3 linked regions of the Sus scrofa genome follow. The protein of the gene in region 2 interacts with the protein of the main gene of each other region in a pairwise test. Links are inferred from orthologs where the notes say so. Each region holds a gene or a part of one and is shown on either strand. Other genes may lie near its edges.

Region 1 (3,743 bases), on a different chromosome or scaffold from region 2:
CGGCCCTGGTGGCAGGGACTTAGCCCCCGGGCCCGTGTCTGCCGTGAGGACCTCTGCCTCCAGTTGGAAGCCCCCTGACTGGTGATCCTGGGGCTCCTTTTAGCCAGACACGCTGGCACCCAGACCAAGAGAGGGTCCTGGGGCTGTGAGGGTGAGGCCTGACCCCCATCTGGCCCCAGTTGGACCAAGGGGGCGGGGCTTGTGCCAAAGATATGGGGGAGCGGGCGTGGGGCATGCAGGAGAGGGGGGCAGGTGTGCAAGGCAGGCTGGGAGCCCTGAGCTGGGTCATGAAGTGGGAGGGGATGGGGTGGGGGCTGAGCGCAGGGCCCAGGAGCTTGGATTGGGTCCAGAGCCTGGCCTGGAGTGGGGGAGGGCAGACTCCACAGGACTCACCAGGGAGGCCACAGTCCCCTCCCGCCAGAGCCACCTGCCCCTGCCTCATCTCTCCCCTTCCCCGCTGTGCCCTGGAAGCCTGGGTGGGCCTTGGCCGCCCCTCCCGAACCTCCCATCAGAAACCACCCCCTCCTGGGCCAGGGAAGGGTGAGGCCTGGGAGGGGGGAGGGAAAGGGAGCGTGACCCGGAGCCTCAGCTGTCACCCTGGGGCACAGTGGGGAGGTGGAAGCCACGTACATTCCCGAGATGCTTGGCTGGAATTAGATTTTATCGCCAGCTGTTTATTCGAGGGCTGCTCCCCTCTGGAGACGTGGGGGAGGCCCAAAGAGGAAGGGTAGTTGGGAAGACCCACCCCAGGCCCCTGTCCCATCATCAACCCTGCCATGCCCGGCCCCTGGGGGCCCAGAGCTCGCCCTCGGTAAGGGCTGCATCCACGCCTCCTTGGAGAGCCCCCTGCCCATGCAGCTAGCCTGGGTCCCAGCCATGCTCAGATCCCTCCCCCTCAGACGAGGCCCCTCAACACATCCCCTGGAAGACAAGGGGGAACCAGATAAGAACTCAACTGCAGAGAAGGCAGCTCAGCGGGCCGCCCGCCCCCTGCCCCCAGCAGCCAGAAGGTGATAACCTAATGGGAACCACAGTGGAGGGGGGGGTCACTGGATTGCGCCCCCCCCGAAGCCCCGAGTGAGTGTGTGTGAGAGTGTGAGTGTGTATGCCCATGGGTGTGAGTGTGTGCTCGGGTGAGTGTGGGGGGTGTGTGTATGTGATCATGTGTGAGCAGGGAGAGGACCTGTTGTCTTTGCACACCTGACTCTCAGGCAAGCGAATTTCCTCCCCCTGTTCCCATTCCCGACCTTGGGCCCCACTTCAAGGGCATCCGAGTCCTCCCTGTCTGACAGGCTTGTGCTCCCAAGGCTGAGGCTGAGGGGTCCACCCCTAACCCTGAGCACAGAATAAGCAGGCCCCCCAAGTGCTGGGGACAGTCTCACAGCCAGTAGCAGGGCTGCCTCCAGCTCCCCCCCCCATGCCCCCACCTCACTTGTGGGTTCCGGGCTTGCCTCCAACCCTGATGCTGTGCCCTCCTACCTTCCCCCCAGAGCCCCCACCTTCCCCCGGGACCAGGAGTGCAGGGGGGCGCAGGGGGGCGGACACAGGGCTGGCGCTCTGCCCGCACCAGCTCCGTCGTCTACAAGGGCGCCAAGTGAGTCCCTCGGAAACAAAGAACAAAGAGGCAGGACGATGTCCGCGGGGGGTGGTAGGGTGCAGCCTTCCAGCCCCCCAGGCCTGCCCCTACCTCTTTCCTTCTCCTCCACCCCAGGGGTCACTCCCCGCCCTGCTCACCAGGCTCCCCTCAACGTGCAGCTGTAACCCCTCTGCCCCCTCTGGTCCCCAGGGCACTCCTCTCCCTCCTGGGACCAGCTGGGTGGCCAGGGTAGAAACAGTCCCCTGGCTCCACCCTGGGGTTCCTGGGGCAGCAGGTGGAAAAGCCCCCTCTGGGCTCCAGCTTTTAAATGGGTTTGGGGCGGGGGGTTCCCCTCCAGCCACCTTTACAGGGGATGCTGTCCTGCAGCACAAAATGATGCAGGGCTGTCTTAGGACTGCTCGCCCCAAACCCAATCGCACAGGCAAGAGCCCTCGTCTTCCACGTCCAAGCCCTGCTCCATCCTGAACCTAGAGCCCAGCTCATCTGCCCAGGCTGCGGACACTCACCGTGCTCAGTCTCTGTGGGTCAGGCTGGCCTCGGCTCGCTGTGGACTGCAGACTGTGGGGGGCAGAGTGGTGGGGAGGCTTTGAAAACTCCAGCCCTCGGCAACTGGCTGGTAAAAATAGAACAGACCCGCCGCCCCTCCCCCGCCCCTGCCCACCACACACACACCTCATGGAGGGGACAGGGCAGCACACAGAGCGGCCAACAGGCTTGAAGACACACATGCATGTACCAGGCTCAGAAGGACGCACAGAGCCTGGGCACACAGTGGCCACCCTCCAGGAGACTGGAGCCCTGGGAATGGGGGGGACAGATAAGCAGATCAGACGGGGCTCTGAGCAGGGGTGGGGCTGGGGCACCCGGAGGCCCAGGGACAGCAGGGCTGGTGGAGGGGGGCCATCTCCCTCACCCTCCTTCTCTCACAAGGAAGCATCTGGACCCGACCCCTCAGTCTACGCTCCAAGTAGGCAGTCTTGCTGTGCAGGCATCTTCTGAGGCTCTGGACCTCTTGAGCCCAGACGATGCCTGGACCTGAGTGGTGACATAAAGAGTGTCACGCGGGGTCCAGGGAGGGTACTGGGGCTGAGCTGCCCTTCAAGCCCGTGGCATCTGAGGGTCCACAGATGCTCAGCGCCCTCTCCCGGTGGGTTTCGGGGGTTCCAGCGACACCCAGCCCTGTGCCAGGAACCTGGCAAGACTAACTTCCCCTCCCCCGCCCCGTCCCATCCTCTGTGTCCAGCCACAGGCCAGCGGCGCCCAGGGGCTGGTGCACCTGTCTTCTGGCTATTTTTAGGACAGTGGGTGAACACCTAATACCCACCCTGTGCTCAGAGGAAGACAATGCCTGCTATGTTAATCCAGTGGCTATTATTGTTGGTCATCTCATGGGCCAGGAGCCCAGGCTGGGGCAGGACAATCAGGACGCTGACCCCTCTCGGAAGCCAGGAGAGGCCCTGCCAGGGGCAAATGGTTGGGGAGCGCTAGCTGTGCTCCGGTCCAGTGGGAGCAGAGCTGGTCGTGGGGTGTCCTCAGGAGGTACCCAAGTGCCATGGAGGGGAAGGCCCTGCCCTCTAGACCAACAGAGGTTGCTCTAATTTGGCTCCGGTCAGGTACCTTTGGGGAACCTCCAGGTGGGGAGGAAGAACAGGGTCTGGGGGTGTGCAGGTTGGGGCACAGGATTCTGGGTGAAGAGGCTGGGATGGAAAACAGAGGCGGACGCCCGCCAAGGAGCAGCTGGGGATCAGAGGAGGACTCTGGGGGCGGGGGTGAGTCTGCTGGAGTTTATTGCCTGGGTCTATCATGTTTACAATTTACAATAGACTAGATCTGTCTTACAAAATCTTTTTTTTTTTTTGTCTTTTTGTCCTTTTTTCAGACCGTACCTGCGGCATATGGAGGATCCCAGGCTAGGGATCTAATCGGAGCCATAGCCACTGGCCTACACCACAGCCACAGCAACTTGGGATCCGAGCCACGTCTGCAACCTACAACACAGCTCACGGCAACGCTGGATCCTTAACCCACTGAGGGAGGCCAGGGCTCGAACCCACAACCTCATGGTTCCTAGTTGGATTTGTTTCCGCTGTACCATGAGAGGAACTCCTGTCTTACAAAATCTTAATATGCACAAAACCAAAATGAA
Region 2 (3,743 bases):
AGCCTAACTCCTTAGGTTTACAGGAAGTATGCATATTTTTATAAAACAATTGTATGTCCTCCCCATATTTTGCTGTATTAATATTTGCCTCTAACTAACAATTTGCAGCTGTTTCACCTTTTCCTCATTTGTCTCTTAGTCAAAGGCCTTGTTGGAGGGGACAGAGCACAGGAACAGCCTTGATAGTCTGTAATTATTGTACAAATATTTTAATAGCATATAAATAAGTATATTCCTTTTATTTTGAAAAAATCAGACACTGCCTTTTGTGTGTTTGCTGCCTGTGGCACCCTTTTTTAAAAGACTGTTACATATTAAAATAGTGTACATATATATAAATATTACCTCTTTTGCTGTACAGTTGTGATAGACCAGACGGAAGATTTTATTTTTTGTGTGCTTTTTATAAAAAAAAAAATTAACACACTAAAGAAAATCTTGCTGATGTGATTGTAATGTACCTATGTAACTTATTTACTTTTGAATGTTCTTCTGTATCTTTAAACCTTTTATTAAATAAGGTTTTAAAAATTCAGAGTTGATTTCTGTGTCCTTTGGGGGAAAGATTTATTATCTCACCATCTGGGATTGTAAGTGTGCCTTGGTTTGCTTCCAAAGGATACTTGACATTTTTGAACCATAAGGCCTGTTTTATCCATGATGCCAGGGCAGGGGAAATAACACATTAGTGTTTGCCGGGTTACTATTCATAGAGATCTAGATCTTTTTACAACATTTTAGACAAGAAGAAGTCTCAACTCACTGGGATAAAATTTAGAGGGTGCAGAGTGCAGTCAGGTGGTACAGGGTATTATACAGCATTGCCTCTGAACGAGCGACGCGAGTAGACAAGTCTTTCTTGACGGCCGGATATCATCTTAAATCCACTCCAGAATTATATTATCTTTTAAACACAGTGCTTTGTTAAGAAAAAAAAAAATCTGGAAAATGCGAAAAAGGAAATGCGCGGTAAAGGAAATTAACGCCCGCGGCCCCGAGCTGCCACCATGGCAACCATTCGCCCCTGCAGGCCGCTAGAGCTCCGGCGTCTCGCGTCGGTGGTTGCCGTGGCTACGGTCGCGCGGGCAGGGCCGCGGGGGGCGGGGCGAGGCGGGTCGAAGGCCGGCCCCGCCCTCCACTGCGGCAGTAAAGGCTAGGCTGGCTGCGGGTGGGACCGAGGTACAACTGTGCAGCTCCAGCCCACCTCGGCCCGCGGTCGCCTGCGTGCGGGGCTGCCGCGGCCTGCCTGCGACTGCGCCTGCGCCTCCTCTAGCCTGGCTTCCGCGTCTTTCCTGCGCCTCTGCTGCCTGTGTTCTTGGTCCTTGGCGTCCTCGCCGCCCAGAGGGATACGTTTGCCCACGAAGAAGCTCTCTCGGGTTGGCCTCGCTGCCGCCGCTGTCTTTCCCTTAGGACAGTCTTTCCCTCCGGGGGCGGTACTAGTTCTTGTCTGCGGAGAAGCGGCTCCTAGCTCGTCTGAGGCGTGCTCCGCTCTGGCAACGAAAGCTTGCACCCTCTGGGAGCAGCAGCGAGTGCCTGGCGCCCAGGCTGCGAAGAGGCGGCCACGTCCCGCGATCAAGCCCTGCGGCTCCTGCTTTCGCCGCCCGCCTTTTTTCCTCGCCTCTGCGCTCCGACGCGACACCTTCCTGTAAGTGGAGGACCCGGCCTGCGGATCCCGACCGGAGACACAAGATGGCGATGGCCATGTGACTGAGCATCCCCGAGGCTTCGTTCCGAGAACGCGGAGGCCTGGCTTTGAGGGGCAGCGAAAAGAGGAGAGCAGGACACTGGTGTCGTTTGTTAAACGTGATTGACTCCCTCGGGCATATGGGGGGAGGTGGCGGTGGGAGCGTCTGCTATTGTCTTCAGTTTTAGAGCACAGGGAGCCACAGTCTAATTGTATTTGTAGAATTGGGGCCCTTGATAGTTGGGAAAATGGCGATGACACTGCTGGAAGATTGGTGTAGGGGGATGGATGTGAACTCCCAGAGAGCCCTTCTGGTCTGGGGGATCCCTGTGAACTGTGATGAGACCGAAATCGAAGAGACCTTTCAAGCTGCGATGCCCCAGGTGCCCTATCGAGTGCTTGGGAGAATGTTCTGGAGGGAAGAGAATGCCAAAGCAGCCTTGTTAGAGCTCACTGGTGCTGTCGATTATGCTGCGATCCCCAGGGAGATGCCAGGTAAAGGAGGGGTCTGGAAAGTAGTCTTTAAGCCCCCCACTTCCGATGCTGAATTTTTAGAAAGGTTGCACCTCTTCCTAGCAAGAGAGGGGTGGACCGTGCAAGATGTTGCCCGTGTCCTTGGGTTTCAGAACCCCACTCCGGCCCCAGGCCCCGAAATGCCGGCAGAGATGCTAAACTATATTTTGGATAATGTTATTCAGCCTCTGGTTGAGTCCATATGGTACAAGAAGCTGACGTTGTTCTCGGGAAGGGACATTCCGGGGCCAGGGGAGGAGGCATTTGATCCCTGGCTGGAGCACACTAATGAGGTCATAGAGGAGTGGCAGGTGCCTGATGTAGAAAAGAGGCGGCGGTTGATGGAGAGCCTTAGAGGCCCTGCCGCTGATGTCATCCGCATCCTCAAGACCAACAACCCTGCGATTACCACCGCTGAATGCCTGAAGGCGCTGGAGCAGGTGTTTGGGAGCGTCGAGAGCTCTAGGGATGCGCAGGTGAGATTTCTGAACACATACCAGAACCCGGGAGAAAAATTATCTGCTTATGTGATTCGTCTGGAGCCTCTGCTGCAGAAGGTGGTTGAGAAGGGGGCCATAGATAAAGATAACGTGAACCAGGCCCGCCTGGAGCAGGTCATTGCCGGGGCCAATCACAGCGGAGCCATCCGAAGGCAGTTGTGGCTGACCGGGGCTGCTGAAGGGCCGGCCCCCAACCTCTTCCAGTTGCTGGTGCAGATCCGCGAGGAGGAGGCCAAGGAAGAGGAGGAGGAGGCTGAGGCCGCCCTCCTGCAGTTAGGCCTGGAGGGGCACTTCTGAGTCCCAGGAAAGGGGGCGTTAGTTCAGACCTAGATCACGGCTGCTTTCATTGTCTCTGTGATGTCTTACAGGTGTGTCTCCTGCTAGTAAAGACTAAGCGGTGTTTTTTGTTTTTGGGCGGGAGTCCGGCCTGGGTATTCATGTGTCATTAGCACAATCGTGCAGGGGAGCACCAGATCTGCTGCAGCGCTCGTGGGTCATGCTAGCTACAATGCCAGGGAAAGGCTTGGACGTGAGTCCTCATTGCAAGCTATCATCATGGCACCATCATCGGTTGTGAAAAATGTGGTCTCGTGACTCTTCCCATCAAGGTAATTAAATATGAAATTGCATGTTCAGATGTATAATGAGTGCAGGGCCTGGATACCAAAAGAACTGTTCAGTAAAAAATGTCAACTGTTTACTCTTAACTGTGGTGAATAGTTTTTGTGTCTACCGTAAATTGTTCCTGGTTTATATTAATGGAAAGAAATGTGAATAAGGTATTATTCAGCTTTACAGTGCAGATTTCTTACTGTACATCTTTAAAGATCTAGATCAGTTTAATTGAAAAGTGTTCTGAGACTACAAAATGGGGTGTTAGAACGATACTGCGCTTACAGGGCTGTGTAAATCAAGTTTTCACTGTGTAAGATGCAGATATAAAATGCATGGGGAGGTTAATAGGAACCAGTTACAGCATCTATTCCCCCATTTCAAATCTTTGTCATTGAAGAGTAGTTTACCATGTTCATGCTGATTCTAAATGT
Region 3 (3,743 bases), on a different chromosome or scaffold from region 2:
GGTGGTCAGTGGGGCGAAGGGGTGAAAATGAGTGGACTTGGTCTCCCAACCACGGGATGTATCTTCAGAGAATAGGGGACAGGGAAGGACGTTCTCAGACCTCACCAGCACTTCATCCAGGAGTTCGTAGACCAGAGCCACGTTGCGGGAGATGGTCCCCTCGCCCAGGGAGCCACAGTAATCTCCCAGGAGAGTGGCTAGCCTGCAGAAACACAATGGAGTGTGCATATCGGCCTCCTCTCCCACCCCCACGCCCATGTGCCCAGCCCTGTCCTCCTCACCGGGAGAGCAGCTCTAGGAGGCTGAAGGGAGAAATGTTCTCTGAAGTCGTGGCCACCAAATAGAGGCCGTTGTGTCTGATGTGAATAAAATGACGGTCATCGTGGTGCTGAGGTAGAGGCAGGGGGAAAAGCATTAGGAAACGAGAGTTGTAATGATTCCTGGCCTGTGAGACAGGCTAGTATCCGGATTCCCCTACTTACTAGCAACGTGATTTGGGGCCACATATGAAACCTCCCTAGAGCCCAGCTTCCTATTGTGTAAATGGTATTAATAACAGTACCAACTAACTGAGTAGCTGAGGACAGAGATGTGTAAGGAACTGTGCCTGGAACACGGTTGCTGCTCAATAAACTGCCATTAACATTTGGACTACTGCACTTCCCAAGTAGAAGCTCTCAGGGAAAGAGCCCTGGGAAGATCCCCGCACTGCCCTCCCCACCCCAGCCCCCGCCGCCTCGGAGCGCTGAGCGCATCCCTTCCACCACCACCCCCCACCCCCGCCAGTGGTTACCATGACAACAGGAGACTCGTCTCCGGGCAGTCCCGTCAGCTTCCGGTAGAAGAGCTCTGCCACATCCCGGCCGCCGCTGTCTCCGCGGACTGACGGGATAGAAGAACAGCTAAGGAGCCAGCGACACTGGCTAGCTCGGAGGCACCAGTCCCACCCAGCCCCAACCCCGCCCCGCAAGCCAAGGATACAGTCCTTGTAGATGAGCGGGTCCCCCTTGGAGGACAGAATGAAGAACTGGGAAATCATGGCCGTTCTGGAGGGTAGACCAGGAGGCAGCGAAAAGTTGGGCCTGCCCCGCCCTGCGGCCCCGGAACAAAAGGACGGGAATGGGCTGGCCCTTTAAGAGGGCTTCTCCTCCGACCGCGGGAAACCTGGCGCCTGCCCCGCCTCGCTCAGCCTTTCCCTCTCAGTACCCGCGCCATTTCCCCGTCAGTCACCCCAGGTTCTCCCGGTGATTGGTTGACGCTGGGGCCTGTGGCGAGTGGGCGGGGCGGAGGACCTCCTCTCTGATTGGCCCGCACACAGCGGCGCTGGTCACATGGGGGGCGACGTTTCGCGCCAATTTCGGTTGGTCGGCTGCGGACCACGGCGCAGACGGTTTTTGCTGCCCAGGCAGTGAGAGGTCTGAGCCCGCCAACTGCTGCCGCGCAGCCCTGGGCAGCAATGGCACTTAAGGACTACGCTCTCGAGAAAGGTGAGGGTCTGCAAGCGTGGGAGGGGCGTCCTGCGCGGAAAGGTTCCTGACCAACACCTGTTGGTGGTGGGTTGGGTTCCTGAGGGGCCTGGCCCGGAGCGCAAGGTCAACGGTAGGGTCGGGAAGCGTCGGGGCTGAGGCCTACGGTAACTGGGAGGCGTACGAGGCGCCAGGGTCGGGGAAGAGCTGGTAACCGGGTCCGGGAAAGGAGTGGGTATCGTGGGGTGGGGGGCGGACACCCCGGCTGGAGGCTCCAGAAGGAACGGTCGCGCCTTAGACCAAGGCTTCCAGGGGCCGTAAGGTTCAGGGTCTGGCACCCGCGGGCCCGCTTCCTTCCACGGTCTTAGGCACTCAAGAGTAGCCGCGTCCTCCCGCGACGCGCCGAAGCCCCGGGGGCGGGCAGGCCTGAGCCGCTGCGCGCCGGGATTGGTCGCGTCAGGCTAACCTCCAAGCGGAAGTGAAGGCGAGCGGAAGTTGCGCGACACCGCTGGAGGGTGTCGTGTGTAAACAGTGTCCTTCCGCGCGGTGGCCGCGGAGAGAACTACTGAGGATGGGGGCGTGCCTGGGATGGGGGAGTTTAGAGGAAGACCGAGGGAAGAAGTGGTGGGGTGGGACGGAGTGGCCCTCGAGGAGCTGGCCAATCGCTGGACGGTCTCCCGCCCTGAGCGGAGGAATCCCGGGCTGTGAGGCGGCGGCATCATCTGGGCCCATGTGCTTCTTTGTTTACTAAGAGCGGAAGCAGTGGCGGGAGAGGGGGTGGGGCGGAGGACGGGCCTGGTGGCGGAGGTCCCGGTGAGAGCGGCGATTTAGGAGACAGAAAGAAAAGGGGAAGCGTTCGCGCGGAAGAAAAGCTGAGAGTCTTGAGATCTGGGTGTGTTGCCAGGTGTGGGAGGCCCTTGGAAAAGGGTTCCGAGATTTCTAACTAAGGCTGAGAGTGGAATTCCCTTGGGGGGTGGGTGTTGGGTAATATTCGCAACTGCCAGGGGTCCCTCTGCTCCCCCAGATAAAAACGGACTTGGAAAAGGAGTTTGTAGGTTTGTTTAAATAAATCTTCATTTATCTAATTAGTTCAGAGATCTCATTTTAAGTGAAAGTGAATCAGAGGAGTTTGGAGTAAGGTATCTGAAGAAAGATTGATCGTCACGATTTTACACTTTCCTTGTAGAAAAAGTGAAGAAGTTTCTACAGGAGTTTTACCAAGATGACGAACTTGGCAAGAAGCAGTTCAAGTATGGGAACCAGTTGGTAAGTCTAAGGTTAGGTAGAAGAAATGGGATGGTGGCTTAAGGAGCTACTAAGAAGTGGCCTGACTTGTTTTAGCAAGGCTGTTTTTCTCTTTAAGTGACAAGTTTAGCATCATACCTGTTAACAGTACTATATTCACAATAATTAAGGTATTTTTAGGAGTTAACTGAGAGGTGAGTATTTTTTCTGTCTCACAGTGCTCTTTCTGTCCTTTGGAGGCTTGGTAACTTGTGTGTTGAGCCACAGTGATGGGTTCTTGCCTGTGAACTTGGCTCTGTTGCCGTCTCCCCCCACCCCCAGGTTCGATTGGCTCATCGGGAGCAAGTGGCAATGTACATAGACCTAGACGACGTCACTGAGGATGATCCTGAGTTGGTGGACTCCATTTGTGAGAACACCAAGCGCTATGCCAGGCTCTTCGCTGATGCTGTGCAAGAGCTGCTGCCTCAGTACAAGGAGAGGGAGGTGAGGAAAATGCAGGGCAAGAAACTTAGGTTTCTGTTGAGAAGCTACTCGGGTATTTTCTTCTATTGCTGTTGTTAGGCCCTGACACAGCATGTGGAAGTTCCCATGCCAGGCATCCAACCTGAGCCACAGCAGCAGCAACGCTGAATCCTTAACCCATTGTGCCACAAGAGAACTCAGGTATTTTCTGAGCTGGCAAAAAGGGTGGTGATTGCTGCCTGGAGCCTTTTATGCTGTCTCCTTTCCCTATCTTACCACTTAGTTTTCTTATTTTCCTATCCTTTCAGGTGGTAAATAAAGATGTCCTGGATGTTTACATTGAGCACCGGCTGATGATGGAGCAGCGCAGCCGGGACCCAGGGGCAGCCCGGAGTCCCCAAAACCAGTACCCTCCTGAACTGATGCGCAGATTGTGAGTGGGCTCAGGGGGAAGTATGTGGGGGTTTGATCCCCAGCACCTTGCTCATCACTTTCTTCCCCCTTTAGCGAGCTGTATTTTCAAGGCCCGAGCAGTAGCAAACCTCGTGTGATCCGTGAAGTACGGGC

Evidence for each region.
Region 1: the proteins of PNMA1 (region 2) and TNNI1 interact in binary tests that used the Homo sapiens proteins (3 or more experiments, as listed by UniProt). The two-hybrid records come from large-scale screens. The link is inferred for Sus scrofa from reciprocal best matches to the Homo sapiens genes PNMA1 and TNNI1.
Region 3: the proteins of PNMA1 (region 2) and MCM7 interact in binary tests that used the Homo sapiens proteins (3 or more experiments, as listed by UniProt). The two-hybrid records come from large-scale screens. The link is inferred for Sus scrofa from reciprocal best matches to the Homo sapiens genes PNMA1 and MCM7.

Annotation. Positions count from the first base shown.
Region 1 is NC_010452.4:23,797,944-23,801,686, forward strand, and holds the start of TNNI1 (troponin I, slow skeletal muscle), read right to left. Parts: upstream 2,612-3,743; 5' UTR 2,511-2,611; intron 2,396-2,510; 5' UTR 2,270-2,395; intron 2,166-2,269; exon of another isoform or gene 2,156-2,165; 5' UTR 2,104-2,155; intron 1-2,103. UniProt on the Homo sapiens protein: Troponin I is the inhibitory subunit of troponin, the thin filament regulatory complex which confers calcium-sensitivity to striated muscle actomyosin ATPase activity.
Region 2 is NC_010449.5:97,049,207-97,052,949, reverse strand, and holds the start of PNMA1 (paraneoplastic antigen Ma1), read left to right. Parts: upstream 1-1,092; 5' UTR 1,093-1,932; coding exon 1,933-2,994; 3' UTR 2,995-3,743.
Region 3 is NC_010445.4:8,011,135-8,014,877, reverse strand, and holds the start of MCM7 (DNA replication licensing factor MCM7), read left to right. Parts: upstream 1-882; 5' UTR 883-981; coding exon of another isoform or gene 982-1,039; 5' UTR 1,040-1,456; coding exon 1,457-1,487; intron 1,488-1,998; exon of another isoform or gene 1,999-2,370; intron 2,371-2,652; coding exon 2,653-2,732; intron 2,733-3,032; coding exon 3,033-3,197; intron 3,198-3,484; coding exon 3,485-3,609; intron 3,610-3,683; coding exon 3,684-3,743. Other genes in the region: AP4M1 (AP-4 complex subunit mu-1), read right to left, coding at 1-202, 282-388, 794-882, 982-1,039. UniProt on the Homo sapiens protein: Acts as a component of the MCM2-7 complex (MCM complex) which is the replicative helicase essential for 'once per cell cycle' DNA replication initiation and elongation in eukaryotic cells.